Linked DNA regions of Caenorhabditis elegans. The protein of the gene in region 2 purifies or fractionates together with the protein of the main gene of each other region. This does not show direct contact. Each region holds a gene or a part of one and is shown on either strand. Other genes may lie near its edges. The genes, in order: nop-1 and clec-64.

Region 1 (16,511 bases), on a different chromosome or scaffold from region 2:
GAAAAAATAAAGTTATAGGACCTCCAGAACCTGCTGGTTGAAAGTAACAAAATTATTTCTTTCAACAGGAGACTATTTGAATTAAAGAGATGGATTTTCTACAATAATTGACGTAGATGCAAACTTCTGTGGACCGTAGAAATCTGAAAACGCGTTGCCGAGGTAAACCAAGCACAGAAAATATTTTTACAATTAGTTCACAAGTTTTGATATTTTTAAAAACACGAGTCCACAGGAAGAAGTTACGATTGAGATATACATTGGGTTGAGTTGCAATTTGAAGTTTAGAAACAGCGAGTAAATACACATAGAGATGGTGGAGTCCACTAATTTTGAGTTTACGAGAATGAGTCCTTCAGCATTTGATAGTATTTGAGTACCCAATGAGTCCGATTTAAATGTGTACTTTTGGCAACCTCGGCTTCGCGGCGATTAGTGAAAATAGATAGGAGAGGTGTAAATGCAACTTTAAAAAATATTTAAATAAACTAACCAGTCTTAAGAACGCAAATCCTTTTCCAGATAAATAGCACTCAGCAATATCTCCATGTGGAGAGAAAAGTTCTTTTAGCTCGGTTTCTTTAACTTCATTTGGCAAATTTCCGACGAAAAGCCGACATCTTCCAGTGAACTTCTTTTTTGGAACTTCATCCATCAGTTGGGACTCAGTGAACGCTGCTCCATTGAAAGAAGTTCCACCACCACCACTTCTTCCACCACCACCACCGCTTCTGTGTCCTCCATTGTTGTCGTACGGCTGTTGAGCCGGAGCAATTCCACGTTCGGCTCCACCGCGGTTGCCTCCACCTCCGCCACCACTGCGAGCTGCATTGTTGGAATTTCCACGCCTGAAAATATAAATTGTACAGAATACCAACTAAATATGTAAAGAAAAACTTACTTTTCATCTCCTCCGCGATTTTCCCTCCCTGGTTTGCGATCGTTTTCCGCTTTTGCAACTCTTGATGAATCATCACGACCATTTGAACGCCTGTTGTCTCTCCTTGCACCACTCATCTTTTAGAAGGTTTTTTGTTATTCTCCTTCTGCAAAATTAAAATAAATAGTTTATTAAAAGAAAGAGATTAGTGAAAAATGAACGGATCGATAGAAAAGGGTGCACACGCGGCTGAACGCAGCGCGGAGAGACGCGTCGCGTCTTCCATACTCTGTCTTTGAGTGGTTAGAGAAAGTAGAGAGGGCACAGAGAAAAAGGAGATACCGGAAAGAAAACGAACGCGTCGAATTAAAATAAAAAAAACATTCACAGAAGCTGAATGATTTAAACATTTATGACTGCAATCGGGTTTATTAATCGATGTTTTTTTTAATTAAAAACCCGGTCAAAATTGCAAAAATAAACTAGAAAACAACTATATTCAAGAAAATAAAAGCCGCAAAAAATTTGTACAAATTCGAATTAATTCATGATGAAAACTTTCAAGGCGCACAGAGTTCATCAAAGCAAGTGTCCTGCCACGACAAGAAAGTTAAAGGAAATTTAATTAATTCAGTCGACGGGTCTCGTTACGATTACCGTAGTAAAACTGTTTTTGTGTTTCGCAATTTTCTCACGTTTCTCACGTTATTGTGTTCCATCGCTTCTAGCAAAAACGGGCTCAAATTTTCGGAGTCGAAAATAGGCAACGACGTCGAACACGTTCGATTTACACGCTTTAGAAGAAGTGTAAGTTTTTAATTTTCAAAACAAGAGCCACTATCTGTGAGAGATTGCTAATTGTAAATTAAATTGTTGTTCCATCCAATAATTCAATCGTTTGCATATTCATAATTTTTTCTCGGCTTGTTCAAAATTAAAATTAGTTTAAAAAATACCTTTTAATCAAAAGATTCAAATAGTCTCGTCTTTGGAAAAGTGGTTGAATTTTCGAACCGAACCGAACTCTCGACCGAAAAAACAAACTTATTATCTTACTTACTAACTTGTTAGCAATACTCACAATACGTCGCTTGTTCTCATTCTTATGGCTGTGAGTAAGTGTGGACTAGCCATTGCGCTGGTTGGCCTAGCAGCTGCGGTATTGTCCCGCTTACCGCGTCATTCAAATAAAAAAGTGTTCTCCTTCAATTATCGACCCATTTTTCAGCATGTCGGCGCCGAAGAAACGAAAAAGCGACATTCACGTAAGTTTGAATTTAAATTATTTACAAATTAATTGATGTATTTTGCAGAGCGATGATCGTGATCATGCAGATCACCAAACGAAAAAGGAGAAACATTGGTTCGAGGAGGTATTTATTAATCCCTTTAGATGTATTATTAACTCGTTTTTTTTTCAGAAATCTGAACAGAATGGCGAGAACCGAAGATCTTCAATTTTCAAAGGATTTCTCAAGAAGGTGAAGAGCTCCACTACTTTGAAGAGCACCAACAAATCTGCCTCATCTTCAAAAATGGACACCATAGCGAATGAGACGCATCTTTCAATCACCAGTGAATCAAGCATCACTTCCGTGGAATCCTGTCACAGTGCACAGTTTCCTAACGTCGCGAAGAATGCGATGCTTCGTACTCTTGTCAATAGGGATTCATTCACACCTGTTCCACCTCCAGACGGTGAAAGTGTGACTTTCATATTGCCAGAGATAGGCTCATCGAAACTGGAATTCACTTCAAAGATGGATGATGCGATTTCGGTACGAGAAAAGCATAGCAAAATCCACTTCGCAAACATTTATTTCAGATTGAATCTCGAATGTCTATTGGATCTTGCCACACTATCGATGAAGACTCTGCTTCCATTGGATCCACCTCTGTTTTTTGTACTCCAAGTCGCAATCCATTGATGAGAAATGGATTACGTATGTCGACTAGAAGTGTTCCTGAAAACCAAGATGATATGCCTCCAGCACTATTCCGATCTCTTTGCAATAGCGCTGTTCGTCGAGTTCCCACTTCAAAATCTGAAGGTGGTGGTACTCCGATGCGGCGTTCCATGCGGATGTCCATTCAGAAACGGAACTTGTCTTCGAAAAACATGGAAGATGTACCAGAAGAAGAAGCATTGACGGTCTCTAATAGTTCGGTAAGAATAAAATTATATTGAAATTACATTATTTATTCGTTACCACTTTTTTTTCAGATTCGTGTTGATGCTCCAATTGCTGAAGAAGACGAAGAAGTGTTCGGGGCGGCTAAGGAATATTTTGACAACAATGTCACATCACACAATGATTCAGCAGATGAAGGGACATGCTCAATGTCACGACTTTCGACGACGTCCGAAAGAGCTTCTGGTGTTGGAGGATCTAGCATTGTGAGTTTTTTCTGATATCGAAGCGTCTTTGACGAGTGTAATGTATAGTTTCAGGGACGCCGGAGCTCAATTTTCCGAAAAATCTTCCCAGGAAAAAGTGAATCGAAGGATCGGAGAATGAGTGACAACAACCAAGCGTCGGAGCAGTATATGGACAAAAAATCAAGACGGGCATCTGTAGTCTCTTTCAACGAGTTCACATCTGTCAGCGGACTCTCTGTAAATGATTCTGCGAGCAAAAATCCGAAAGACTTGACGGAATCACCTCAGCAACCAAAGCTTCGAAAGAAAACGGCATCTTCTTCTAATCTGTCGCAACGTATTTCTTCAGTTTTCCGAATGGGCTCAAATTCGACAGTGAAATTGAATGAGTATGTTCCCAGTCCAATCGTTTCTCAATCGTCGCGTCGCAATACGCTCACTGGGAATTCGTCGATTTCATCTGGAGTCGGAAGTATAGCCAGTGGAACATCAGATCAAGGATACGGGACGATTGGGTCTAGATCCGGTCAAAGCATATCAAGATGTGGATCGAGGCGTGATGATGAAGGCAAAAAAGGTAATCCCAAATGATTCAAATATCCTGTTTATAGAAAATGTATTTCCAGAACGCACTCGACGCCTTCTGGACCGTATTATCATTTCCGATGTTCCAGCAGGAGAGCTTCTGAAATTAAAAATTGAACAAGTCAAAAAGCAGAAGCAGTTGGAAATGGATGAGTTGTTTGAAACTCAACTCGTAAGTTGTATCCGAGTTGTATGAATAAATTCAATACAATTTTTTCCAGACTGAATCGTCGTCCTCCGACACTTCTCAAAGCGAGAATTTGCAGTTTGATGTCGTGGCTGTTGATATCAAGGCAGATGGATCTCCATGTAAGCCAACATTTTATTGCATAACGATCCTCATATTCTAATTTGACATATTTCAGTTTCCACTACTGCTGCCACATTCATGGACAGTGAACTTTCGAAAAGGGTGAAAGAGGAGATCGTGTCAAATTATCGACCTGATCGCTGCGGATCAATCACCGAATACGAACCGGAGCTCGTGTTTGTGATGCCTGAGCAGCCACAAGCGAGCTTGAAAAGTCTTAATGACTCGGTTTCCTCTAATGGTAAATATTCTCAATTGAATGTTGATTTCAATTTTTTTGAATTTCAGCTGACATCAACCTTGATCACCTTCGGAATGTTAGAAGTGGCTTGTGCAAGTCGATTGAAGAATGGAAAAGGATCACAAAAATGCGAGAATCATCTACAATGCTCATTTATCCAATGTTCTGCCAATCAGAAGAGGAATGGGATTCAAAAGGAACCATCGACGCAATATTCCTGATGCTCGATGGAATATTAATGAATACAAAACGATGGATGCCGAACGGAAAATGTATTCTCGCTGGGGTGACTCCAAATAATGTCATCCTTCTACGCAACAAGTTCGATGAACTCAAACTGTCGGTTGCAATCTCCGAATCTGATGGGCCGGCAAGTTCAAACGATGATTTCGACACTCAATCCACAGCGAGCACTTCAACTGTGTTTGGAGCTAAAATTTGAGCTGTGAAATGTGTGTCTTGTTGTTAAATGTATTATCGATCTCGTCAATTTTCAAAATTTCTTTCAATTCATGTTACCTTTCTCTTTCCTCCTCAAAACGGTTGATATATTTTTTTGTGTTTTCATAGCAAGTTTTATTATCTAAAAATTAAGCTCTACACCTTTTCATCCTTGCATTTTTCTCTTCACTTTTTGAGGATTACTGTGAATAGAATGCCCCTGATGTTTCTATCCTCTTTCCCTCGATTTGTTCGTATTTTTTTGTAATAAAGTGTGTGAAGGCTTACTATTTTTTTTTGAGGAATTTTTGATTTTCATGAAACGTCCTTCATTTTTGGAGTTTTGCAAAAACGAGGTGAATGAATTGATTTTTTCAATTAAAAAAAAAGAAAATATTTCATCTCTCAACTTTTCCATCCGATATTCCAATTCGGATGGACCGGTTAGTTGTTGCTCAATGGTTGATCAATCGATCATTTGAGATAACTCTGCGTCTCTTAATCTTCTATACTATTTTATTATCTTTGTCTCAATTGATAAAAAGAGAAACAAGTGTCTAATGAGAGAAAGAAATATTTTTGTGTCCATCGGCTCTTCTTTTCTCATCCACTTCAATTCGATGTTTGTCCACCTGTTGTGAGTGTACCACGTGGAAGTCCGAATTCCACGAATTTAATTTTATCAACGGAATATTTGAATTTCAAAAATGTGAGCACACGAAAAAAGTGCAGAAGATAAATTGAAAAAGAGATAGGTAATCTGATATCATAAGTTTCATCTCTTCTCACTTATTTCCTTTGCATTTATCACTTCAAGTTCATTTTATCACCCTTCTCTCTTATTATTTGTTTTCTTTATCCTGGTTTAACCGAGATTTGTTTTATGGGATTCTCGCTGATTATGAAGAAAATTACGGGTTTTTTTGCGCCAAAAATACGGTGACGCGATAGATTTTAGTTGAATACAAAAATGCGCAGATCTTTAAATAAAAATAAAAAATTTTTTATCAAAAAAGTATGTCAAATTGAAGCAAATTTCGCAATAACAGAAGTTTGAAGTTACAGTACTCTTTAAATTTAAGTTTAAAGGGTACTGTAACTTCAAACTTCTGTTATTGCGGACTTTGCATCAAATTCACGCAGTTTTTTGGTAAAAATATAATTAAAACTCAAATATAAGAATAACAAGTTTTAACTTTAACAAATCAAGAGAAAAATTTTTTATCAAAGAAAATTCCGCAGCAACGAAAGTTTTTAATGACAGTAATCTTTAATGGCGCGCACATTTTTTGTTAAATACGAAAATTCTCTTATTTAACAAAAACGTGTCATGTCGAGATCGGGTACCGTACTTTTGGCACAAAATTCCGCGTCTTAGTATATCTTTGGGCTTTTTCAATATGTTCTCTGCGTACTTAGTTTTAGTTTTCACTGATTCCTCAGACAACCACGTTGGGGGTCTAATTAGAAAAGAAGCACTTCTGATTAGAAAATAGGTATTTCTAATAATAAAATCCCTGATCCTCATTAAACCCATCAATCAATTCAAACTACACAAATAATATGAAAGATGCAAATTATGTAAATGTCAATCTAATTCATTTCATTCCACGAACACATACAAATACACTCCAGTTGTTTTATGTGTAATCTTTTCGGGAATGAGATTCTCCATCTGGCGGAAGCTTATAAAAACGAATCCTTTCAATTTCACCTTTTGTATACAAAAAACTGACTGACTATGAGAGAAAGAATAGAAAGCGGGCGAATCTAAAGGACCCCATTTAAAATAAATGACCCCATGTAAAATTGTATGAAAGCTCATTCCTTTGATATTCAGTCATTTTATTGTTAGCACTAAAGGTGATTTTAAACCGTTTCCCCCACTGGCGCTACTCCAGCACCTTTAAGCCTTCCACGCAACTATTTGTCTTTTAATATCTTTCACGACAAAGTAGACTATCATCACGGCAATTTAGACATACCTTGTAGGCACGCAGGCAGGCAGAGGACGCCTACCACATATCTTAATGCATTTGGTCACACTTTCATAGTGAACAATTTTGAGAGGTTTTGTTCAAACTACAGTAACCCTGCAATTTAAAGGCACATATGTCTTTGTGGTATGACCGATGATCTTTGCCATCAATTGACATCTTCATCTTCTGTACCTTTAAAATCCCATTTCTTCTGACCATCCCATCAATCAGTCACCGACAAATACGGTCATGCCTATCCTTAGTGATTCTGATTCTATTCTCCGATAACCCTGGTCATAAATCCCCACTAAACTTTCTCAAAACCTTCCGTCCATTCCCCTTCACCCTCTATCTATCTCTATTTTTTTTGTTGCGACCTGATAGTCACTGTGATAACCAACAGTTCTCGCTCTCTTTCACCCCTCTCAACCTCTCACCGATCTCAAAAAAATTGTCAATTACATTGCAAATATGACTGCCTAGAAACTCTTCAAGAGTGCACACTATTTTCAACTGCTTCTCCATAATTTTTGCATCTCTTCTCGACACCCATCGTCTGCATCGAAAATCAATTGTGAACACGTCCATACACACGTGTCTGCGGGTCTCTGATCCTACTACTCTCTCCTCCCGTGCTTCGTGTTCTTCTTCCCGCCGGGAGCTCAAAAACGCCGCCGCCGCCGCTGTTCCTCTAACTCTCTTGCATCGACGGGTGCTTTTCGTTGTTTCTTATTGTTCTTGCTCATTACGTGTTTTGCCCCTCTTCTTCAATCGTTCCAAAGCCTAGACTCTCTCTTCTCTTTGTTCATCTCATTTTTTATTTTTGTTGCTGTTCCCGCAGTCTGTTATTGTTTCCAATATCTAGTGAAACTTGGCAGGCCAACCACAATAACATATTAATCTAAACTGAGTACTGTAGTTTCAGACTTTTAGCATTGTCTTGAAATTTCTTTAGTTTGGAGGAGTTTTGAACATTTAACTAGACTAGGCGTGGTGAGCAGGTACGTCTTCAAGCCTACGCTCCTGCCTACCGCCTATTTTCTGTTTTGAGTGTTAATATGTGTAAACTTACCTCCGTTTTAATTTTTGGAAATTGAAACAAAGCTATATTCAGATGTACTCCAGTAGGCAGGCCTAACGGCAGGAGGCTGATAGAAATTTGTTGTGTGTGTATTAAAAATAACCCGCCGCGAGCCACTTTCAAACTTATCTGTGTGATGTTCCCAATATATTGAAAAAATATCAATTTAAACTATTTCGAATATTGCGTTTGATTTGAAACAACTGGATAAAACAATCTCAAATTAAACATCTAATACCATGAATGAAAAATAATTCCTTTTGAACTAGTACATACACATTACTACACTCTATTATTTGTACAGCTTAACCATCAGGTATTGCTCGCTATCAAACAAACATTTGTTCGATTTTCGGAAATGGTTTACACATTCTTCTTCCAAATGGTTAACCTTGTAGAAGTACTTTGACAGAATTTTAATCTTTTCAATAGATCTTTCCAATTGAATTCTTTTTTGAAGATAACATCAACAATCAATTAGTTAGTTATGTCTTCATTATTGTAAACTTTATGTTGTTTGTCATATTTTGAACACATTTTGCAAAGTAGCCACGTTACTTAAAAATATTTGCAGCTCCTGAGTACTTCCAATTACATACCTCATCAATTGAGGCGCTCATTAAAACTTTTTGAAATCAATTTAAAAAAAAATTTCTCCTGAAAAACACCCTCGTAAAATCTTTCTGTACTGACAGATTTAAAAATTAAAATAATTATTTAAAAAAAAATTGAATTTGAGCAGTAGGGGAACGCTTTCATTAGGGTCAAGACATGTGCATGTAAGTTTGGGCCTACGTGTAGTGATTTTTTAAAAGAAACTTTTGCTATTGGAACTTGCAAGTTTGTTAAATTTGCCGCTACTTTTTTATGACTATTTAGTTGTTTGCCTATTAGAATATAAAAGTTGTTTAACTAAAAAAAACGGTAAACACTTATTCACACCAATTGATAAAACGAATGGGAGTGATATGTTGTCAGTGATAAGAATAGAATGTGTTCAGAGAGAGAAATGGTTGTACATTCAAACCTTCTTCACTTTTTGTTTCAGTTCTTCAAGTTTCCAAGTTTTCCCCATCGAAATTAGTCAGAAGCCAGACGATACACTTTTTGCATTCCTCACTGTATAAGTGTGTTATGTCCGTAACTGTTCCGATCACTCATCGTAATTCTTTTCGACACCATGTCTCTGGCGTATTATGTTGTAGTATTTAATATCCCACCGATTCTCTTATTCTCTTCGTTCATCAGAAACTAATTGCGTTGCTATTACTTTTCTCAAAACTTTATTACTAAAATCTAATATCTGCCATGATTCAGGGTATGATTGAATCTACAACTTCGCATCAAGATTTTCAACAACGGTGAGTTTATTAATTGAAAATAGTTTAACTAATTGAATATTTGAAATCTGATTCCAAGAATTACACAACCTACTTTAAAATAGAAATTTGTGATATGTCCTAGGATTTATTTCAATATAAGGTTAAATAATTGTACAGATCCATGACTGGGTATGCCCTGGAGCATCCATCGTACAGGATTAGAGGCGCACTTTTTAGGCATCAAGATGATGGGAGGCTTCTGTCAGGTACATTGAATTTCTATTAAAATCCAAATTTACCAAATAATCTAGGTTGCGGCGGAGACATTGAAGTAATTCATGCACTAGAACTGGAACGATCACAACATACATGTCTCCCTGTCAGAGTTACAAATGTCGTGGTGTTCGGATCAAATGACGTCGTCCGACTAATTCAACCAATTGAAGGAACCGAAGATGTCATTGTCAATGGAGACTACCACGTGTCAATTGTGCAATCTGTTGAATTATTCGAGAGTTCGACGGTTTCCAAGAGCAGAATTCTGAAACTACCTGGAAAGATTATTGCTGTAAATGCAGAGAAGCATTCAAACACTGAGGTTAGAAATAAGGGAATAAACAGTAAAAATGAGAAAGAAATATTTTCAGCTTCTTCTAGTATTTCTTCTAGAGACCGGCATCTTCCATTATTCATTTTGTGCTCATACATCAACACACTTTCAATGTATTCAAGCTTTCCGATGCAAGTGAGTTCTTAGAATTTTAAAAATTGTAAAGAGTATCTTTCGATCCTACAGTAACCTAGCGGCAACCGAATTTCTAAGCACTAACCTGATATCGAATTAATCTCATGCAATCTATGTACTATCCCTGAGATATCAGGGGCTTGTTGAAAATTTAATCTCACACATATCCAGGGACCAAGATTAATCTATTCAAATGCTAATTTTTTCAGTCGCCCAATTACCAGTGGACTTCTCTGGAGGGACTCGGGACTTCTCCACGTGGCATATTACGATGGTTTTGTACGGGTTGGAGTGGTTCATGAGCAGTACGATGATATGCTTCTAGTGAAGAGAGTCGCAGTGAATCGAAACAATTTAAGCGTTCTTTTGGATGTTGTTTTTGAAGAAATTGGAAGAATTCAAAAATTCGAGGATACTGAAAAACAACGGAGAGAAGATATGCTTACTACTTCAAAGAGTTTGTCTGATAAGTTAGTGGCAGAGGAAGAAGTTGTCGAAGGAGACACTACGAACGACGATTTTGCCAAATTGAAGATTGAGTTCAAGAATCAATCTGTAGGTTTTTAATTAATACTAAAATATTTATGAAACAATCCCAACTTTGCTTACAATCACTTTCTTGTTTTCAATCTCGAAAAATTGCAACACCATTTTTCGAACGGGTGACGTCATACTAATTTCGAAGTATGCAAAATGCGTGACGTCATGCTTCACAAAAAGAAGTTGCGATGTGTTGGAACAACGAACTACAAACCAAAAAATGAGGGAAAATGTCCCGTTCCCGTGAAAATTTGAAAAACGGGACAACGGGAATTCCCGTTCCCGTGAAAATTTGAAAAACGGGACAACGGGAATTCCCGTTCCCGGGAAATTTTTAAAAACGGGAAAACGGGAAAAACGGGAAACGGGAATTGACACCCTTGATTACAAATCACAAAGCATAATTTCAGATTCGCTGTGAACGGGTCTCACAACGTTTGACTTCTCTCCGAAAACTGATCACAATAATAAAATCCGCACTTGACATGAATGATCAAATTGAGCAAATGATTAGTCTTCTGGTGGATGAGCTGAGTGAGCTTGAGAAACTTGAACAGTTGTGCAAAGAAGTTGAAAGAACTGGAAATCAGAATCTTATTGGGAAAAGCTGGATTGCTGTGGAAGAGAAACAAATGGTAGTGGAAGAACTTATTGCAAAAGTGAATAGTGATCAAATCAAGAAACATTCGGATGTATGGGAACAGAAAATTGATCAGATAATCGATCAATTAAATGGTTGCTCAGAAGCAGCAAAGGATATGAGATTGATTATTAGTCAGAATATATTTGAGCATCGAGGTGACAAAAAGGATGTATTCACTCATTTTGTGTTGGATGCGCAGAGCCGAGATATCACTTTATATTGTCTTTCGGGTCTTACAACGATGGCCATTTATCCACGCAAGGGGAAACGGTAAGACTTTCAAATTATTTTGGAAAGTATCAAAGTGTGAAAAATTAATTAAAATTGCCACAATAAAAATAAAATAAATTCCGAAAACTATTTTTAAACTATACATAATGTAATTTTTTTTTTTCAAAGTTTACTCTAAAATTTTCCATAATTTTCAGAGTGGCCTCCATTTCTTTGGATGCATCATTTGCCACGTGTCTCACTGCGGCCTGTGCAATGAAATCCGCTGAAGGTGTCTACGTAGCAGATCAGAATAATGTTTTCCCGACGTATTTCTACAGGTAAAACTTGTTTCAGCAATTATAAAAACTAATTTTCTGCGCGCAAAATGAAAAAAACCCCAATTTAAAATTACAGAAACCGCCCAAAAGCTGGAAAAGGGTAGGAACGTACTATACTTGAACTAAACTTTTATCGCCAACTTTTCCCTCCACCCACTTCTATCATTCAGTTTACCTCCCATAAGCATGATTTTCCAGTATTTATTTTGTTTTATAATAAGTTTTCAAAGTTTCAAACAAACGCCAAAACATATCTTTTTAATTTTCATGATTTCCCAAACAATAATTTAACGCCTTATTTTCGAGCAACTAATATTATAGTTATATTTTTCAGAGAAAAGAGGTACTTGGATGCTGGAAATCAACTTCAACTTCCCACTTTCGACAGTATTTCTTCGATTCTCGTTGAACCACATCAAATGGTGAGCAATTTTTTGAGACTTGATTCCAAACTTTTTTACTGAAAACTTGGAATCTGGCAGCCTAGATCTCCATGATTGTGGTCTTATGGGAAAATTATCAATTCATAGCATAATTGTTGTCTAGTTTTGATAATTTTGAAATCTTGATACTGAAACATTTCTGAATACTTTTAAGTGAACCGAGAAGCTGACAAATGTGGCAACTTCCTAAAATTAGAAATACCAATTCCCATGAATGTTTTTCTCAGATTTTGGGAAGTGTAACTGGAGGTCTTCTACATTTATCATTTGATTTTGCATCAAATTATGAACATTTTGTTGTGGCAAGCAGTATTTTGGCTCATCCTATTTCGTCAGGATCCGTAAATTGTATCAAATTATTGGCAACTGGGGAATCCCTTCTAGCACTTCATTGCACTGACACAGAAATTGTTGTTTCGGAAAAAGATCAAGAGAGATGGCACAGAGTTACACACCATACAGGTGGTGCACATGCAATTGCAGTTACTCCATTTTCAGTTGATGAGAGAGGTGCATTTGCAGTTGTTGCAAGTGATACTTTTGTTCGATTGAAGGTTTTGCAGTATGCTGAAGGTTCGTTTTAAAGTTGATTTTTCATAGTTGATTTTTATTAAACTTTCCTTTTTTCTCATTAGAAGAAGCATATAAAAATTTGAAATCAACCATAAAACCGTTTAAACTTCAAAATCTACTAACAATAATTTTAAAAGTAAAAAGTAATCTTGTCGTTATTTTTGTTTTAAATAGCTGTTATTAATACTATGTTTAAATGTACTATGTATTATATCTGAAAAACCCTTTTCCATTTTATAAACGATCAAGTTGTACTTTTGATTCCAGAAAGCCTTATCGGTCTTCACGATCTTGGCGAATCACGAGCTGAAGATGAGAATGGACATCCGATAGAAGTACTAAATGTGTCTCTGGATCCAAGTATGCAGTACCGTCAACTTCCATGTAAACTTCGTTATGCTGTTGGATTTGCTGATAAGGCTATTCGAACATACGTGGCACTCCTCACTGGACAACACGATTTTAATGTTCAGGAGAAGTTCATCGCTCAAATTGAGCCTCTTTTTAATGTTCAAAATGTGGGTAATTCTTTTGAATTTTTGAGACATTTAGTCTTGATAATTAGGCAATTTTATTGTCAATTTTCAGATGATCTGCTTTCACGGTCGACCAATGGGATGCTATGTAAGTTGTGCTAAAACTCTTCAAATCTGGAATGATCTTGATCGTCATCAACAAAAGAAACTAAAAAGTGAAAGAATGCAATTATTGAAACTATCATCTTCGGTAACCTCAATGGAAAGAGCTGAAGGATATCTACTTCTTGGATTTGCTGATGATCGTCTTTCAATTTATGAAGAAAAAGGAAATGGAGCTGTTGATTTAGTGGGGACTGTTGATGATTGGCACAAGGGATTGAATGATAGAATTGTTATGAGTGAGAATTTAATGTAGAAATAAAATAAGAAAAAGTAATGTTCAGGTCTACGAACAAGAGCATCAAAGACTTCATGTGGCACAAGATTATTTATTCATTCATTGACAGCTCATCACATTGTTATTCATACAGTTCTTGTCACAGCCTCTAAAATTGAACAGGTTGGTTACTATTTTTAGAGAAATTATATTAATATCTATTTTGCAGTAAATACAAAATTCATGGTTAAAAAATATTTTTAAAACTTACGATTTGGAAGAAACGTTTTCATGCTAACTGATTTTATTTTATACGAAATTCATTTGAATATGTGTGTGTGTTTTCAAATTAAAAAAAAATTTCAGCACGACTTCATAGTTGCTCACGAACACTCAATGAGCCAGCCAATCGGATTCGAGTTTGTCTCATACAAGTATTTTGAATTTTTAGTTTACGGTCGTGGAATTTCCAACGAAAAACTTTCAATTGAAGATCGTAAGAGAATGGATAATTTCAGAGATTTTGAATTTAATTGAAAATTTAATTTAATTTCGCTCAATTACACAATTTCAGTTTTTAGCTTTTTTGGTTAATTTTTGCATTTTGCATCGGGTCATTGTGTGGGATCACAAACGTGTATTTAAGAAAATTCTAATCGCATTTTGAGTTCAGTTGTGATAATTTTCAGTGCCTTTTTTTAATTTTTTATTTGTTTTGTTTTTCTGAAATAAAATTATTATTTTTTGAAATTTTAACAATTTGAAGCTTAACAATATTTATTAGTAGGAACGAAAGTACCAGGGGTATTCAATTATTTGAAAATGTCATTATTAGAGTAATAATAATAATAATAATAGTAATAATTGAGAAATGTCCAATTAAAAAGTTGAAAATTTTAGCAATTGAGGAATATTATAGAAAATTGAATAAAAATTGAAAAGTGAAAGAGAAAGTTCAGCTATGGGAAGGATTGATTGGTGCGGTGAATGCCTCGGCTGTCATAGGACGATTGCTGAAATTTTGGAATTTTAATTTTAAATATTATCAGGAAATATGAAAATAAAACATTGTTACGGTATTAAAAACCTGAAAAGTTAGGTAATAATAAAAGTAAAACTTTGAGCGTTGATCATGATCATTTTAGTCGGTGTTTGTACAGTACTCAATACATCATATTTGTCGCCCAAAGTGATTTAAAGATCCTTTGAAATACCGTATTCTTGTTAATATTTTTCTTATTTCAAGACAAAAATGTTAGGATTGATGCAACGCCGGGTTAGTTGTTCGTTAGGTGAACGTATGTGAAAAATATGAAAGTTCCACAAACAAAAGTAAAAATATAAGGGTTTCTCACATTTAATTGTGTTGTTTTGAAAAAAAATGGGTTTCGGGTCCTTCCACGATCAAGACTTTTTAGCTACCGTAGCCGCGAGTAGTGTAGATTTTTATTATTTTATTTCACAATCTTACACCGATATTAACTATATTTTTCGTACTTCAGGTTTTTTTTGGAGAGTTTTAATATACCTAGTTTATATATTGGAAATAAAAAACTATTCAAAACCTAAAAAAGAGCATTTTGCGAGATATTCGCACCTATCGTAGTTGAAAAGTTTCGCTCGTGCCAGGACCCGAGGTCATGGTTGCCATTATTAAAGTATAGTGTCGATAAATTAATTTTAGTTAATTTTTCTAAAAGTTAGTAACTGCAAAACCAATAACACCACAACTATCCGACACCTTATCCCCTGACGAGTTTTTGAGATTGATAACAATGTTTTTCTTTCGATTACGTCTGTTTGGATCCACCGAACTTTTCTCCGGAATCAGTTGTCAAGCATCCAGCACCAAGTCCAAATCCGACTCCCTTTGGTCCGAATTTGCGTCCGTGGCACTGTTTGCAGTAGAGTTCTGCCTCATGCGGAGCAACAGTGCACGAGTCGAGAAGCTTGTTGCACATGTCTGTGAGAGAAAGAGGGATTCATTGAGTAAGAGAGATTTAGAGAAAAAGAAATAGAAATGGCTCTGTGATTGAAGAAATGGTTAGTACATTGAGCAGGGAATTTGCGGAGGAATTAACGTTATTAAAACACATAAACATGTTTTAAAACATGAAACATTGACTAACGTCATATCAACTTCAGTATTTCCAAATTGTTCTCCAGTATCCATTGTCAATGATCCGGCGCCGATTCCGAAACCGATTCCCTGTAATTATAATTGAATTTAGCCAGCTTTATGCTATTTTTTCTTTTTTTCATAAAATCTTCCGAAAATTGCAAAAAATGTATTTCAAAATTTCGAGACTTGCCAAATCTCTATTCTAACTAATATGTTTGAAATGTTGAGCAACGTTTAATTTAAATCTCGAAAAGTCTTGTGGCTCTTCGATTTTCTCCAATTAACATTTTAATTGTGATGTAAAATGCGTTAATATAACACGACATCTGAGTTCATTTCAAAGTGTAAAAAAATATGCGGTAGGCAGGCCTAGGCCTAACTATTTTAGCTTTAATTTCCAATTAATAAATTGCATACCTTTGGCCCATATCGCCTGCAATGACACTGCTTACAGAAGAGTTGTGCTTGATGTTCACAGCATGACATTGAATCCAATAATTTGTTACACATACCTGAATAGGACAAAAACACATTAAAAGACAAGACGAATACAAGGACGAGTTAACATGAAGCATTTGGGGGGAATAGGGAATCACAGAACCATTATTTCTTATTCACTAAGAGATTCTATTAAATTATTAAATTCTTTAAAACTCACTGCACTTGAAGCAGAACTTGTGCCATTTGTATCCGCCGGCGGACATCTCCTCTGCGGCGTACACACTTTTGCCGCACTTCGGGCATTTTGGGTGCTCCACAGGCTTGAATGGCATTCTGGAATTAATTTATCTTAAAGTTGGGAAACATCAAAGGTGAAAAC
Region 2 (15,322 bases):
ACTGAGATATAAGCTGTCAAAGTTGAACAATGAGCTCTGATAAAGCAATTAAAAAATTCGACTACACCACCTTTAAAGTAAAGTAGTAGGGTGCAATTCTATTAGAGGAAATATGTTCTTCTATATTCTAAGAAATTCTAAGACGGTTTTTTTAATCAAAATGTACATATTTCAAAAAGTCAAATTGGCAAGATTAACTGTTTATTGTTCTTGTAATATTCGAATTTACAAAAATTAAATCATCGTATCGTAATCACACACACACACACTTCAAGCACTTGTTGGCTTCTGATTATTGAGAAGAGTTGGTCTAGAGAATGCACGTGGAGCTTCCGAGTCGTCCTTGTTCTTGTTGGATCCCCATGCCCAGACTGATGGATAGGCGGCAGCAGCAACATATGGAGAATATACTGATGGATAGTATGATGGGTAGTACGCTGGGACAACAACTTGTTGCTGGGAGCCAATGATCATGGCGCAGAGGAGGACGGCGGCGAAGCTGAAAAACATTGAAATTATGTGAAAATTAAAAAAAAATTAAATATCCTTACCACTTAGCGAACATATTGAATTGATAGAAGACTTGAAAGTGTCGATATTCTTCCCCAACAATTCCATTTTCTTATATACCCCTCTATAGAACATGAACCAGTTTCACGGTTAGTAGTAAAAATAAATATTGGCTGAGTGTAAGCATGTGCCAACACGCTCTTACTAGTAGCTTATTGGCGGCAAACATTGCCGTTCTGCTTTGTGCTCGGCGAGCAGACACAAACAAACGTGTTCTCTATTTGAAGTGCATGTCTGGGGTGCAAAAAATTGCAATATGTTTAGTACAAATTTAAAGGTACGGCAGTGCCCGTATAAATTCTAGTTCAGATAATACATAGAAAATGGATTGTAGTGACCGAATGTACATACATACCTAACTTGTAAAATGTTCTGAAAAGTTCCAAACTAATTTACTAAAAAATGTTATATATTGGATTTTTAGGAGATATCAATGAATAGTAAAAGAAATAAAAAATATTTTGACAGATTACAATTTTTTAAAAGAACAAATGTCAACTGAGATATGAGCTATCAACGTTGAATAATTCTACGCAACACTAATAGAGAAAATACTGATTCAAAACGGAGCCCCTTTTGAAGGCTATACCTAGGCCTACGTTCACCTAGATGTGCCTACTGCGAAATAATTTTTTTTTTCATTTAGGCGAACTTTCAGGAACATTCTGAAACACCAATTATCGGAGCCCACGGAGCCTACTATGACAGTACAATTTTTCAGAAAAAAGCTATCTAAAGTGTCGTGGTTAAAAATTTACATACATTTGAAAACAACAGATAACATAAGATTTAGGGAGTACCGTATTACATTTTATTTTGTCAAGTATCCATAAGAACAATTCATTCATTGGTACTCAAAATTCACAATAATTATCCGTATCACATGCAACGGACTCGCATAGGAACCGGAAAAAGCTTGTGCAACTGATCGGAGTCCATGAAATCGAGCCATCAGAATACTTCATGTCTACAACACACCCGGATCGCTGTGGAGGTGCTCCTGAATTAGGGTTCAATGGCCACAGTGGCTGGCCGCTCGGCTGATCCCACCACCAGGTTCCGTTGTAGTTGGTGAGCCCGTTGTAGAAGGCGTTGATTGTGATTCCCTTCGAGTTGAGGTAGTCTGAAAATTGGAAAAATTGTAGAATAAGCATAAGAGCATCGTATTGTTTACCCCAATTGAACGCTCTCTTCTGTTGGTCAAGCTCGCTGACAAGATATCCATTAGTTGTGAGGGAATGGCAATAGCTTTGAGCGGCGAATTTAGTCATGGCACTGTCTGGACGGTAGAGGCAGACACCGTAGTTAGAGTAAATGTTATCGGATTTCAGTGGGTAGTGATATTGCATCCATCCCGGACGGCAGAAGCAGTTGACTGAAAAAAAAGTTTGTATGATACTAGGCTGCCCCATTACGGTTTGATCTACAAAAAATGCGGGAATTTTTTTCCCAAAAAATGTGACGTCAACACGCTTTTAACCATGCAAAATCAGTTGAAAACTCCCTTCGCTGCATCTCTTCCCCCGCATTTTTTGTAGATCTACGTAGATCACGCCGAAACGAGACACTCTGACCAGGGGTGCGCGGCAAACGAATCGGCAAATCGACAAATTGCCGGAATATAAAATTTCCGGCAAATCGGCGAATCGGCAAATTTCCGATTTGCCTAAAATTTTCGGCAAATTGTGGTTTTGTACTTATTTGTTTTGGAAGTTTCAGAATTTCAATTTCAAATGGCAAAATTAAACGCATCCTTTGAATGTTCCTAAATCTATTTTGAAAATTAAGCATATTCTATGAAAATATGTAGAAAAAACGAGAAAAATTGCACAGTTTTAAGTGCATTCGTCTTATACAAAATCCCTCTAAATATTTCCGGCAAATCTGATAGCCGGCAAACGGCAAGTCGACAATTTGCCGGAATTGAAAATTTCCGGCAAATCGGCAAACCTGCAATTTGCCGGGATTGAAAATTTCCGGCAAATCGGCGAACCTGCAATTTGCCGGGATTGAAAATTTCCGGCAAATCGGCAAACCGGCAAATTGCCGATTTGCCGAATTCCATTGCGATCACACATCAACTCACTTGCCAAAACCGCCTTCTGCAACTCCGCTGTAGTATTTCCATCAGACATAGCAAAAGCCATTCCCTTGCTTGCAATTTTATCACGAAGACTCTGAGTTGTATAACTATCCCCACCAGTGTTTACAGTGATAATCGTAACTCCAGTTGACTTTAGGTAATCCGTCAAGTCTTCTGGATAGGTATGATAGTAGCTGAAATAGTACATAGACTACTAGATAGGATACTCTAGGTAACATACTTATACTTGGAGGTGAATAGTACTACAACCTTTTTATAGTTGTCTCGAAGTCCTCCTGTAGCATTGATCATATTAATAGCCGCTTGAAGTCCAGTATCAATATAGGTCTCATCGGCGCGGGAGAGTGGTGTAACACTGAGCGCTTGAATTTGACTGCTTAGATCGGAGTAGGATTGCAACTTGTAGAAGTCTGCTACCTGAAATATCTAGTTACGGTACTTTTCCTCCTGTTGAACACCTTGCAAATTAACTGTGACTTTATTAAACTCACATCAGTCGCATTCCAGTTATAGGTGATAAATCCGACTCGGGTACTTCTCGGGTCATCATACCCAGTTCCGATTTGCACGAATGGATTGAACAAGTTTGAGATTGTGTTATATACATTATACAGGTTCATATTTTTAGAGTTGTCCACCACGAATACAATATCCAGCCAGAGACGGCTCAAGTCTGATCCGCATGATCGATCGGTGACTGCTTGGGATGGTGAGGCGGCTGGAAAACTTGGAAAATTAAATGTTTTCTCTTCATATTTTTTTTTTTGAAAAACCCACCCAATGCCAGCAAAAATAATGTTAGAATCTGATGCATTTGCAGACGAATAATTTCATACGAAATATATTCACGCCAGGCTCTTTTATTCGCAATTTCCATTGCTGATAAGAGAAACAAATGACGATTGGAGGCAACATGATGATTATTACTCACTAACGAAAAGGTTTTGCGCTTTTGGACGGGGTGTCTGTATAGATTGATGTTTTAACGTAAAGGTCATTTAAAAATACTGATTAGCGGTTCTCTGGTAGTTTGATCACAAAAATCTTTTTTTTTTAATATGTACTCCTGCTGGAGTACATATAAATTTTAATTGAATTCATGTACTTGAAAGTATGATAGATATCCTATTTTACAAAAAAAAGAAAAGAAAAGTAATGTTCTACTAATTTACGAGCACCTACATTTTTAGGTGTTTTGCTGGATTTATAGAAAAAATTTTTTTTGCCAAAGTGGATTCAATCTAATTTTTTTTGAAATAAAACTTTGTATTTTTTCTAATTTTTTAATAATATCGGCAAATTTTGACATCGCTTTATAATTGCCAGAATAGAAAATTTCCGGCAAATCGGCAAATCGGCAAATTGCCGGAATTAAAAATTTCCGGCAAAGCGGCAAACCGGCAAATTGCCGCTTTCCCGAATTTGCCGGAAAAACGGCAATTAGCCGAAAATTTTCGGAAAAATTGATTTTTTTTTATTTTAAATTTCAAAAAGACACAGTTTTAAATGCTTTTGTCTTATAAAAAGATCCCTCTAAATATTTCCAGCAAATCTGATATCCGGCGAATCGGCAATTCGGCAATTTGCCGAAAATGAAAATTTCCGGCAAATCGGCAAACCGGCAATTCGGCGACTTACCGGTATTAAAAATTTCCGGCAAATCGGCAAGCAGGCAAATTGCCGGAATTAAAAATTTCCGGCAAATCGGCAAGCAGGCAAATTGCCGGAATTAAAAATTTCCGGCAAATCGGCAAGCAGGCAAGTTGCCAATTTGCCGAACGGCAATTGCCGCCCACCCCTGATTTCGCACGACTACATTTCTTTGAAAAGTTATATCTCGGTTTATTTGGTTTTGATAAGTACATTATCTCAGAAAAATGAATGGTATAGGCTCGATGATATTTATTGTCCTTAATAATTTAATTTTCAATGTGCTAAATATTCAGAAATTTAAAAGCAATGCGATTAATAATAACTTTATATTTTCTCCACAATTTTTCAAACACCATCACAATAATTATCAGTATCACAAGCGACCTGCTCACAGATGAATCGGAAGTTATTCGCACAGCTCACCGGAGTCCACGCGGTCTGAAAATCCAAGTCTTTCTCAAGCCCTTGTTCTAAAAAAGTTAGCCTTACAGTTCCATCTGAATACTTCATATCAGCAACACAAGCGTTGCGAGTTGGTGGAGCTCCAGAGTTGGGGTCGAGCTAGAAATATAGTTTATAGTTTTCAAGCAAAAAAAATACACAGAAGTGAGTACCGGAATCGGTGATCTATCGTTTGGCTGATCCCAATACCAGTTACCATTGAGATTTAATAGACCATTGTAAAATGCGTTGACCGGTTTAGTGGAGTCGGAATTGACCAAATCTTAAATTCATATTTATTAGGGGAACACGAAATTCTGAGAATGTGTATTGCGCAACATATTTGACGCGCAAAATATCTCGTAGCGAAAACTACCGTAATTCTTTAGAAGAACTACTGTAGCGCTTGTGTCGATTTACGGTAATCGGAAATCATTCATTAATCGAAAAAATATTTTTTGAAAAACCCAAAAATAATTTTGAAAAAACGAAATACTACAGAAAATTCAGAATCGCGTAAATCGACACAAGCGCTACAGTATTCATTTAAAGGATTACTGTAGTTTTTGCTACGAGATATTTTGCGCGTCAAATATGTTGTGCAATACGAATTCTCCGAATTTTGTGTTCCCGTATTATTTCAAAAAAAAAGTCACGAAAATTCACTGAAATTGAAATCCCGCTTCTGTTGATCCAACTCATTCACCAAATAACTCTTCGGACTATATTGTCGACATTTGCTTTTTGCGCCATCTCTACTGGAATAATCGGTTGTGTCAGTGTAAAGGCAAGTTCCGTAGCGATTTTGAAGGTTATTCCATGGATAATTGTATTGGACCCAACCTTGTTCGCAGAAGCAGTTTGCTGAATAACGGAGAAAAGTTACGTGGTGTAAGGCTGCCTCGTTGCGGTTTGATCTACGATAAATGCGGGAATTTTTCCTTCCAGAAAAATGTGACGTCAGCACACTCTTAACCATGCGAAATAAGTTGAAAAGTCTGTCATTTCTCGAAGATCAAACCAAAATGGGACACTTTGGCACCACGTGAGCTGGACCTTTCAAACTTACTATCCGTCATTGCTTTCAAAATCTCTTGGGTAACATTTCCGTCGGCAATTGCGAAGCTCATATTGTCGCTGGCAATCTGCTTGAGATACGCCTGAGTATCGGAACTTGACCCAGTATTCACAGTCACCACCGGGATCCCGCGGCTTTTAAGAATTTTCGACACATCACGAGGTTGATTGCTTTTATAAGATCCATGAACCGATGTAAATACAATTACAATTTTCTTGTAATTGTCACGAAATCCCGCGGTCGCATCAATCATTCCGATTGCGGCGTTAAGACCTCTGAAATCAGATGGCCTAGATTTTTAGATTCCAAAACTCTGCCACCACTTACGTATCCATTCTGCTAGCTGGGGAGCTTGATTGTGGAGTGTATTGGAGGCGCTGAATCTGACTGTTCAAGTCGGCCCAAGATTGAAGTTTGTAGAAGTCTGCGACCTGAAACATTTCATTTTTAGTGTCTCACTCGTACATTAACTATAACTTGAAACTCACATCAGTCGCATTCCAGTTATAGGTGATAAATCCGACTCGGGTACTTCTCGGGTCATCATACCCAGTTCCAATTTGCAGTTGCTTGCTGAACAGACTGGAAATCGTCTGATAGACAAGGTTCATACTTCCTATTTTGCAGTTGTCAATGACAAATACCACATCCAGCCAAAGTTTGTTGGCGTTCGTGCCGCATCGTCTGTCACTGACGGATAGAGTTGGCGATGCTGCTGAAAGTATATTGACCCGTAAAAAACAGTCCTTAGAAAATCTTACCCAGACAGAGCAACACAAGCACTTTCCACATGGCGCTGCTGAAAAATGAAGAAGCAGTTTCGATCGTCTTTTAAACTTTTTTGCAATGCAATCAGTCTCATTATTGACATTTGATAATGAGTATTAGTTTGACATCATTGTGTGGTTCGACTTTCTGATAAATTAAAAGGCATGTGTCTTCAAATTAACTGTTATGTATATTCCCTATAGTTATGAAGAAAAATATTTCTGTGTCGGCATTGATTCGGATATTGTTTTACGAAACATTAGTGGGATTTTATACAAAATAGGCACATATTGAGGTCCCGAACACCATTAAAGGTGGAGTACCGAAATTTGAGACTTTGTTTTTTTAGACCCAAAATGACCCAAAACTACCGAATTTCGTAATGAGACGTTTCGAAAATTCCTCGAAAAAAAAAGTTATGGAGGTTCAAAATTATGAAAAAAAGGCTAGTTTTTTAGCTAATTGTAAAATCAAAATTTTTGTCAACTTCTCGGTGTCACAGCATATTTAATTTAAACTGTTTAATAAATATTATGTTCTTTTATTAGGAGTTTATTCGTTGATTTGAGTACATTCAAGGTCTGTGAGACACAAAAATGTAATTTTTGTTTGTGCCCCACTGGCCGAAAAAGGACTTAAATCAACGAATAAACTCCTAGTAAAAGACCACAATATCTATTAAAGAGTGACAATTGAATCAAAAATTAAGTTCCAAACAATGTTATTTTAGCTGAAAATAATCCTTTTTTCTAGAACTTTGAACCGCCATAACTTTTTTAAAAGAAATTTTCAAAACGTTTCAATACGAAATTCGGTTTTTTGGGTAATTTTGGCTCCAAAACAGCAAAGTCTCAGATTTCGATACTCTATACTACCTAAGTACGATTTTCTGAAAATTGGTAAACTTCGATAAGCAAACTAATTCAAAATACATACATATATGTACAATAAATTCAATCACAATATTTATCAGTATCACATGATGCAACTTCACACATATAATTCTCATTTTCTCGGTATCCATTGATGTTTTGCCATCCGACGTCTAGATTCGAGTTATGCTGATGATTAACGACAACGGTGTTGGTGAATGGGGTGTTCGGATATGTTGGATTCCAATGCGAGTAACTTCCATTTTGCTGGAATTACAGTATATTGAGTTGCCAGACAGAGAGGAAAAATAAAGCTAAAGCTGTTATACCAAAATGAGTGGGTGTCCTTCTGGCTGCTGCCATCTCCATGCTCCGTTGACATAGCTCAACCCGGTGTGATAAGCGTAAGGTTCAGTGAATTCAGCATTGTTCAGAGCTATTCCTGGAATTCTAAATATTGTGCAAAGTCTTTGGCACTGGAAAACTTGTATGAATGACTCACTGAACAAAAAATCATGCTTCCGATCATCAAACTCGGTTACAAGGTAACCATATTTAATGCTATTCTGGCAAGCGATCTTTGCACTTGCCCATGATGCAGTTATAGTTTCGGCTCGGATGCAAATTCCAAATTTATAAGACTTCTCGTCGTCATAGCTTGGCCTGTATTGAATCCAAGTTCTTGGACAGAAACAGTTTGCTGAAATCAAACCATTTTAAATTTTTTGTAAAATTCCACCACTAAGAAAGAGAAAACGTACTCTGAAGAGCGGCTGCCTGAATTTTGCCGACCAAATTGGGATCTCTAGACTTGAATGACATATTTGGTGATGCGATTTTTGAGAGCTTGCTCAGTAGGAGCCCATCTCCATCTGGGTCAAAAGCGACGGTTGCGATCGCTACTCCAGATGATCTCAGACGTTTTGCAATGTTTAGGGGGTCTTCTCCATCTTCTCTGGAAAAACTTTTTTTTTCGGCAAACGACTTTTCCGGCAAATCGGATCAAATTGCCGGAGTTGGAATTTTTGTCAAACCGGCAAACTTTCGGAATGAAAATTTCCTGCGAATCGGCAAATTTACCGGAATAAAAATTTCCGGCAAATCGGCAAATTTTCAGCAAATTTCCGGAAAATCGCAAATCAGCAAATTTCCGGCAAATCGGCAAATTTCCGGAATAAATATTTCCGGCAAATCAGCGAATTTCCGGCAAATCGGCAAATTTCCGGAATAAAAATTTCGGGCAAATTGTGGTCTTGCACATTTTTTTTTTGGAAATTTCAGAATTTCAATTTTAATCGGCAAAAATGTACGTATCCTATGAATGTTTCTACATCTATTTTGAGTAGAATGCAAATTCTATAAAAATATATTAAGAAAACGGGGTAAAATTTCAAAAAGGCAGAGTTTTATGTGTTTTCATCTTAAAAAAAATCGCTCTAAACATTTCCGGCAAACTTCCGGCAATTTGCCAATTTATCGAATTTGTGAACAAAAAAATTTGCTGAAAATGATAATGATATATTTTCCGGCAATTTGAAAACATGCAGATTGCCGGAATGGAAAAGTTCCGGCAAACCGGCAAGTTGCCGATTTGCCGAACTGCAAACCCTGATTCAAACTACATACCGTTTGAAACGTTTATGAGTTTTTCTTTTCCAAATATTGGCAAGAAATTGTATATAAACTAATTTTAGTTTAACTTTCAAAAAACAAATCTAAGCTTCTACCTGTAAGCTGAAGCATAAACCACAACCAATCGATTATAATTCTCTCTAACTCCATTCATCCTTCCATTGTAAAGAACACTCTCAGCCATCCCAAGCCCTTTCGCCAGGAACGAATCATCAGAGTCACTGACCTCATTGAGAAACGAGAAAAGCGTCTGATAGACGTCATCGGCCGACTGAAACTGATTCAAGTCAGCGACAACTGTAGCCTCACTATTATAAGTGAGTATGCTAAGCCTGGTAGATCTTGGATCAGAATAGTCCGTTCCAATTCTTGGGCCACTTGCAAATGTGGTCGCAATATTGGCTGCAACTTCTGTGATTCCTTCGTTTGTCATGCCTTTCGAGTTATCCACGACTATAACGATGTCTAGCCAAAGGTTATTCCAGTTACTTCCACAGTTGCGATCAGTTGAAGCTTGGGTTGTTGCAAAAGCAGTGAAAATGGCAAGTAGGTTTAGTAACATTGCTGGAAATTTTGGAGCTTCATAGCTTCAGCTTCATATACCGAAAAACTGTAAAAATGCATTCAAAATAATTGCAGTAAGTTTGAAAACCAATTTTCAAAAAAACGCCAAACAACAGAAAATTGACAAAAAGCAGGCATGCAGGCAGATAAATAGGCATGTGTGCGTGCCTGTTTTTCATGAGAAACCAAAACATGCCTACCTGCCTGAACAATATGGAAAAAAGTAAACTTGAATGTGGAAAAGTAAGGAAATGATGATATTCTGAAAATAATCTTTTATGAGTTTTTTTTTTCGAGGGATTAGCATTTCCACACGGGTGTGCACACATTATTTGCTCAATGATAACGAAATTTAGTGATTTTCGATGCAATCGAATTTGTAATTAATTTTAGTTTTGGGTAGGTGAAAGTGAAAGGTTAAGAGCTTTTAACATTTATATTTTTGAGAAAATGTTGATTTTTTAACGGGGTTCTGGCCTTCCTCATTACATTTTTCTCGCTCCATTGACAAGCCGGACAACGGGTGGGATAGTCGTGTACTCTACACGGACAAATGCATTCAGCTTTACAACTAAAACCGAGCCGCGACGCGCCGTAAATCTACCCCAGATATGTCCGAGCCAAAATGGCCTAGTTCGGTAAACTATTGAAACTTGAACACAACTTTCAGTCTGTCTTCTTTGTATTTTGTAGTTTGATTTGCGGACAACACAACTGTGAGGGGATGAATCTACAATATAAGTTTTACTACACTTCAGAAATTATTTAAACAGTATTATATTTCTTGATTTTTTCCATTCGACAAATTATTTTAATGTGAAAGCAAATTAAAAAAAAAATTCATCATTAAAGCCTTTATACCGCAACAGGAACCTTACAAAAAAAATTAGTGTAGCTAAATTAACAATACTTGTCGGTATCACAGGAAGCGACTTCGCACATGTAGTACTCAGCAACACTGTATGCGTTGATGTTCTGCCATCCAACAGTGAGATCCGAGCTGAATTGCTGCTCAACGACTCCGATGTTGCTGGTGAAGGACTTTGGATAGGATGGGTTCCATTTGGAGTAGCCGCTCATCTGAAAATTGATTAGGCTTATCATCCGAACAATGTTCAATTTTTCGTTATCACTTCTAGTGATTTGATCTTTTTCAAGGTTCAATACGACTATCATCATCTTACATCATTACGTGACAACGGCAAAACTTACTGGCTTGAGTGGGTATCCAGCTGGTTGCTGCCAATTCCATCCTCCGTTCACATAACTCAATCCGATGTGATAGATGTATGGAGCTTGGAAGGCGGTGTTGTTCTGGGCGACTCTGAAGAGGAAGTTGTGCTTCTGTCCGTCGTACTCGGCGGCGAGGAATCCGTTCTTGGCGAGGTTCTGGCACGCGAACTTGGCAGCGGTCCAGGATGAGGAGATGGTGGCGGGGCGGATGCACACTCCGTATTTGTAAGAGTTCTCGTCGTCGAAGTTCGACTTGTATTGGGTCCACAAGTTCGGGCAGAAGCAGTTGGCTGTAATTTTGAAATTTTATGTATTGGTAGAACAACTAAGGATCTTACTTTGAAGAGCAGCTCCTTGAAGTTCTCCAACCAAGTTCAAGTCCTTGGAGGTGAAAGCGTAGTTTGGCGAGGCGATGTTGGTGAGTCCGGCGAGAAGAGCCTCATCTCCGTCCTGGTCGAAGGCAACGGTGGAGACAACGACTCCGGAGGACTTGAGACGATCGGCGACTGGAATGGGGTCGAGCTCGCCTTCTCCCCTGAAACGTAGGAGTGTGTAATTACTTTAAATATTTGGGTGCTCTCTATTTTTGTCTGATCTTCAGAAATTCCTAAATGCTCCCTTTACCGAAGTTTCCGCAGAGTTGAAGGATCCAACAGAAGTACGACGTTTTGGTTGGAATTGATGTAAGCTTAAATTTAACCTAAGCTGTAAGCCTAAGCTTAGTAAGGTAAGAGCATAGGTTAATTTATAATCCGATTCGACCATGCGTATTTGTTCAAAGTTCTAGTAATCGCATCAAAACCCTCTCAAGACGAAATAGATGAATTTTAACAGACAAGAAAGAAAGTATTCTACGTAAGTTCTTACTTGTAAGCTGAAGCGTAGACAACGACGAGTCTCTTGTAGTTCGATCGAACTCCATTGGTTCTTCCGGATTGGAGCACATTCTCTGCGGCACCGATTCCTTTAGCCAGGAAAGAGTCGTCGGAGTTGCTGACCTGGTTGAGAGTAGAGAAAACCGATTGGTAGAGGTCGTCGATCGATTGAAGGAGGTTCAAGTCAGCGACGATAGTGGATCTTCCGTTATAGGTGACAAGTCCGAGTCTGGTGGATCTTGGGTCGGAGTACTGGTTTCCGATTCTGGTTCCGTTTCCGAAGACGGTGACGATGTTGGCGGCGATTTCGGTGATTCCTTCATTGGTCATACCCTTGGAGTTGTCGACGACGACGACAACATCAAGCCAAAGGTTGGTCAAGTCTCCACCGCATTCACGGTCGACATTTGAGCCCCCTGGAGTTGGTGGTGGTGTTGATGGTGTTGGTCCTTGTGTTGCTCCTGTTTGCCATGATGTAGTGCTATCTTGTGCGGAGGCAAGAGCCACAAGGGTCAGTGCCAAGCTCACCAGTTTGAACATGGCTGAAAACATAATAATACTAATAATAATATTAAATTGAATTTGTTTAAAAACTTGAAAAGAAGCCAACTAACGATGAGAAAATGATGAGAACTGCTTGGGAGGGGGCGTATTTTAAGACAATTTTCGTATGCTCCCCCATCACTGATAACACCTTATCACCAGGAGGTGCAGCATACATTTCAAAACCGATGGCTATTAAATTTTTTAGAATTAAAGATAGCAGGAAGGACTGATGGGTGTTGTTAATTGAAATTTCGTGTTGAAAAGTTTAAACAACCCCACCCAACTAATCGACTTAACTGAAAATTTTTAGAATGTTTGTTTATAATTTGAACTTGAACTTTAATTAGATTTGGCCTTTAGCGCAACTTATCGTCTACCAAAATGTCACCAGCACCTTTTGATTAATTATAACAATCTTATGTTAGTAAATGACGTTTGCGGGCTTCTTATCATTACTGAATTTGTCATTCATTTTCAAAGTAGTTTTTTAATTGATTTTTGTTTGTGACATCAATTAAGTAAAGTTCATCTTCAGATGCTTATTGGGCTTCTTCTACTTTTTCTGCTCTCCGTCACCTACGGCCAGGTGCCTCCCACGGATAGAAACTGCGGTCATGACCTGGCGAATCTCTGGTTGGACGTAGTCGTTGTAGTCGACAACTCGGCTCCGATGACACAAGAGGGGCTTACAGAGGTTTGTTTTCTCTCTGAAATCAATTACGAAATTGTTATCAGGTGGCTGCCCAAATTGTGACAGTGTTTGGCGCTGGCACGAGGATTGGGACGAATTATATCGATAAAAGGACAACCCGAGTTGGATTGGTTACCTACAACACTGAGGCAACAATTGTAAGAGCGGGAATCGCAAATGTTACCTGGGCTTGGGGGCCTTTGCCTGCCTATACCAGCACGTGATGTCAGGCTGTCCCATTACGTTTTGATCTACAAAAAATGCGGGAATTTTTTGCCCAAAAAAAGTGACGTCAGCAAGTTCTTAACCATGCGATATCAGTTGAAAACTATGCGTCTCTTCTCCCGCTTTTTTTGTAGATCTATGTAGATCGAGCCGAAATGAGACACTCTGACACCACGTGAGGTGTGCGATGGAGCACCGTTCCTCGCTCATCACGTGATGCCAGAGTGTACCATTTCGGGTTGATCTACCATAAATGCGGGACTTTAGACGCAGACTTTAGAACTGATTTCACAGCTTGCTGACGTCGCATTTTCCTGGGAAAACATCCCGCATTTTTTGAAGATCAACCCGTGATGGGACAGCCTGACATCACGTGCAATAGTGTGAGCTCGGACTTAAATGGAGCAAGTCTGTAGCATCATAACAGAACCTAACTTAAGTTTTAACCAAGTGTTTTCAGCAAGCCGATCTAAATCGCTTCCAGTCGCCAGATGATCTTTTCAGCACGGTATTTCAAATTCTTCCGAATGACCTGAGCACTTCAGAAGATGTTTTCCTAGCGAAGTGAGTTTTTCATACCTTTAAACCATTCCAAGTCCCATGATTTCCAGAGGAATCGGAGCAGCTGAGCAACTCCTGGCCGCTGGTCGCAAGAACAACACTCGCAAAAACTACAAGCAAATGGTGATTGTCTATGCATCCGCTTATAATGATGAAGGTGAAGAGGATCCTAGGCCTATCGCTGAACGGCTTAAGGCGTCTGGTGTTAGCATCGCAACTGTCGCTTTTGATCAGACTGGAGATGAAGAGATGATCAAGCTGATTGGAGAAATTGCGACGCCGGGTTTCAATTTTACGAATGAAGATGAAAATCTGGTTAAGGAAATTCAAACTGCAATGATTCAGAGTAAGACTGAAAATTCCAAAAGTTTTTTTCCAAAAGTTATCGTTAGCTAATTTTTTCAGCCAACTGCTACTGCTCAAACCTTTGGACTCAATACCGAGAAACATTCGAGGACCCTCATTCTTCAAAATTCGGAGTTTGCCTGCGCCCGGTGGCTCTGACAGCTGGCTGGACCCCAGCAAAGTTTGCGTGTCAGAATATGATCCAGACGGGGTACATGGTCACCGAGTATGATCAGAAGAAGCATGACTATGTTTTCAGTAAGTTAAATTAGATTTTTTTAAAGGTTCGAGGTGCATCAATTGTTTTTTTTTCATAACTTGTCCGCAACGACACTTCATTCCCCGAGCCCTATGTGTATCACATCGGACTGAGCTATGTGAATGGAGGATATGCGTGGCAACAACCTGTGGGTCACGCGTTGGTGCCGGTAAGTCCCTTCCCATAATCTGCCAAAGTTCTTATCCCTGTATCAGTTCCAGCTTAACGATAGCCTATGGAATCCAGGATTCCCTACACAATCATCTACGACCACCGCCGTCCTCAATCAGCAATCCAGCAGTGCTTTCAGAGTGGGATGGCAGAATGTCAACCAGTATACGGTGTCCGAGAGATATGTTTGTGAAGTTGCCGCGTGTGATACGTCTACATATTGTGAATAATGGAATTAATTACATAAGTTACAGACATAATTCCATTTGAAATCGGTTATAATTGAATGTATACTGTAATGAAATTCAAAGCAAAATATTTTTACTTTTTTTCACGGGGCTCTGGTCTTCCTCCTTTGCATTTTTCGCGCTCCATTGACAATCGCCCGCCGGACAACGCGTGGGAAAGTCGTGTACTCCACAACTAAAATCGAGCCGCGACGCGACACGCAACGCGCCGTAAATCTACCCCAATTATGGCCGAACCAAAATGGCCTAGTTCGGCAAACTCTTCCATTTCAATGTACGAGGGAAGCCAGATATCCGTGTTTTTGTTTAGTGTTACAGTGCTCCAGTTAATCACGGTTACGAAAATTTCCAAAATTTTCAAAACTAGGACCCGCGAGGTGTCGGCCGCTCTTACAAAAAGAACAGCAGTTACCCTATGTATTCTATGACCACAATATGACTAACGCCCCAAACAGGATTTGCGACACTTTTACGACTCTCGGCGAC

Evidence for each region.
Region 1: the proteins of clec-64 (region 2) and nop-1 fractionate together in Caenorhabditis elegans (co-fractionation; one large-scale study listed by BioGRID). This does not show direct contact.

Annotation. Positions count from the first base shown.
Region 1 is NC_003281.10:5,957,199-5,973,709, forward strand, and holds nop-1 (Pseudocleavage protein nop-1), read left to right. Parts: upstream 1-1,523; 5' UTR 1,524-1,687; intron 1,688-2,108; 5' UTR 2,109-2,109; coding exon 2,110-2,145; intron 2,146-2,193; coding exon 2,194-2,253; intron 2,254-2,301; coding exon 2,302-2,658; intron 2,659-2,705; coding exon 2,706-3,047; intron 3,048-3,104; coding exon 3,105-3,278; intron 3,279-3,326; coding exon 3,327-3,837; intron 3,838-3,886; coding exon 3,887-4,017; intron 4,018-4,066; coding exon 4,067-4,154; intron 4,155-4,210; coding exon 4,211-4,396; intron 4,397-4,443; coding exon 4,444-4,838; 3' UTR 4,839-5,124; downstream 5,125-16,511. Other genes in the region: nono-1 (RRM domain-containing protein), read right to left, coding at 494-848, 902-1,017; Protein dct-6, read left to right, coding at 9,218-9,258, 9,397-9,485, 9,531-9,817, 9,867-9,964, 10,174-10,519, 10,915-11,417, 11,576-11,698, 11,775-11,798 and 6 more; mlp-1 (Cysteine-rich protein 1), read right to left, coding at 14,525-14,582, 15,699-15,778, 16,109-16,203, 16,350-16,464. UniProt on the Caenorhabditis elegans protein: Required for formation of the pseudocleavage furrow during the first cleavage of the embryo and also mediates aster-induced furrowing during cytokinesis.
Region 2 is NC_003280.10:12,892,648-12,907,969, reverse strand, and holds clec-64 (VWFA domain-containing protein), read right to left. Parts: upstream 9,729-15,322; 5' UTR 9,681-9,728; coding exon 9,214-9,680; intron 8,442-9,213; coding exon 8,248-8,441; intron 8,187-8,247; coding exon 7,989-8,186; intron 7,929-7,988; coding exon 7,816-7,928; intron 7,754-7,815; coding exon 7,568-7,753; 3' UTR 7,531-7,567; downstream 1-7,530. Other genes in the region: nspb-11 (DUF1459 domain-containing protein), read right to left, coding at 271-499, 552-565; clec-66 (C-type lectin domain-containing protein), read right to left, coding at 1,425-1,693, 1,745-1,945, 2,657-2,847, 2,895-3,091, 3,166-3,392, 3,452-3,551; clec-65 (C-type lectin domain-containing protein), read right to left, coding at 4,673-4,765, 4,817-4,888, 4,942-5,051, 5,435-5,632, 5,838-6,121, 6,174-6,277, 6,335-6,561, 6,608-6,638; clec-63 (C-type LECtin), read right to left, coding at 10,583-10,762, 10,895-11,205, 11,254-11,450, 11,783-12,330; clec-62 (VWFA domain-containing protein), read left to right, coding at 12,872-13,030, 13,072-13,185, 13,713-13,816, 13,864-14,159, 14,219-14,416, 14,474-14,586, 14,633-14,818.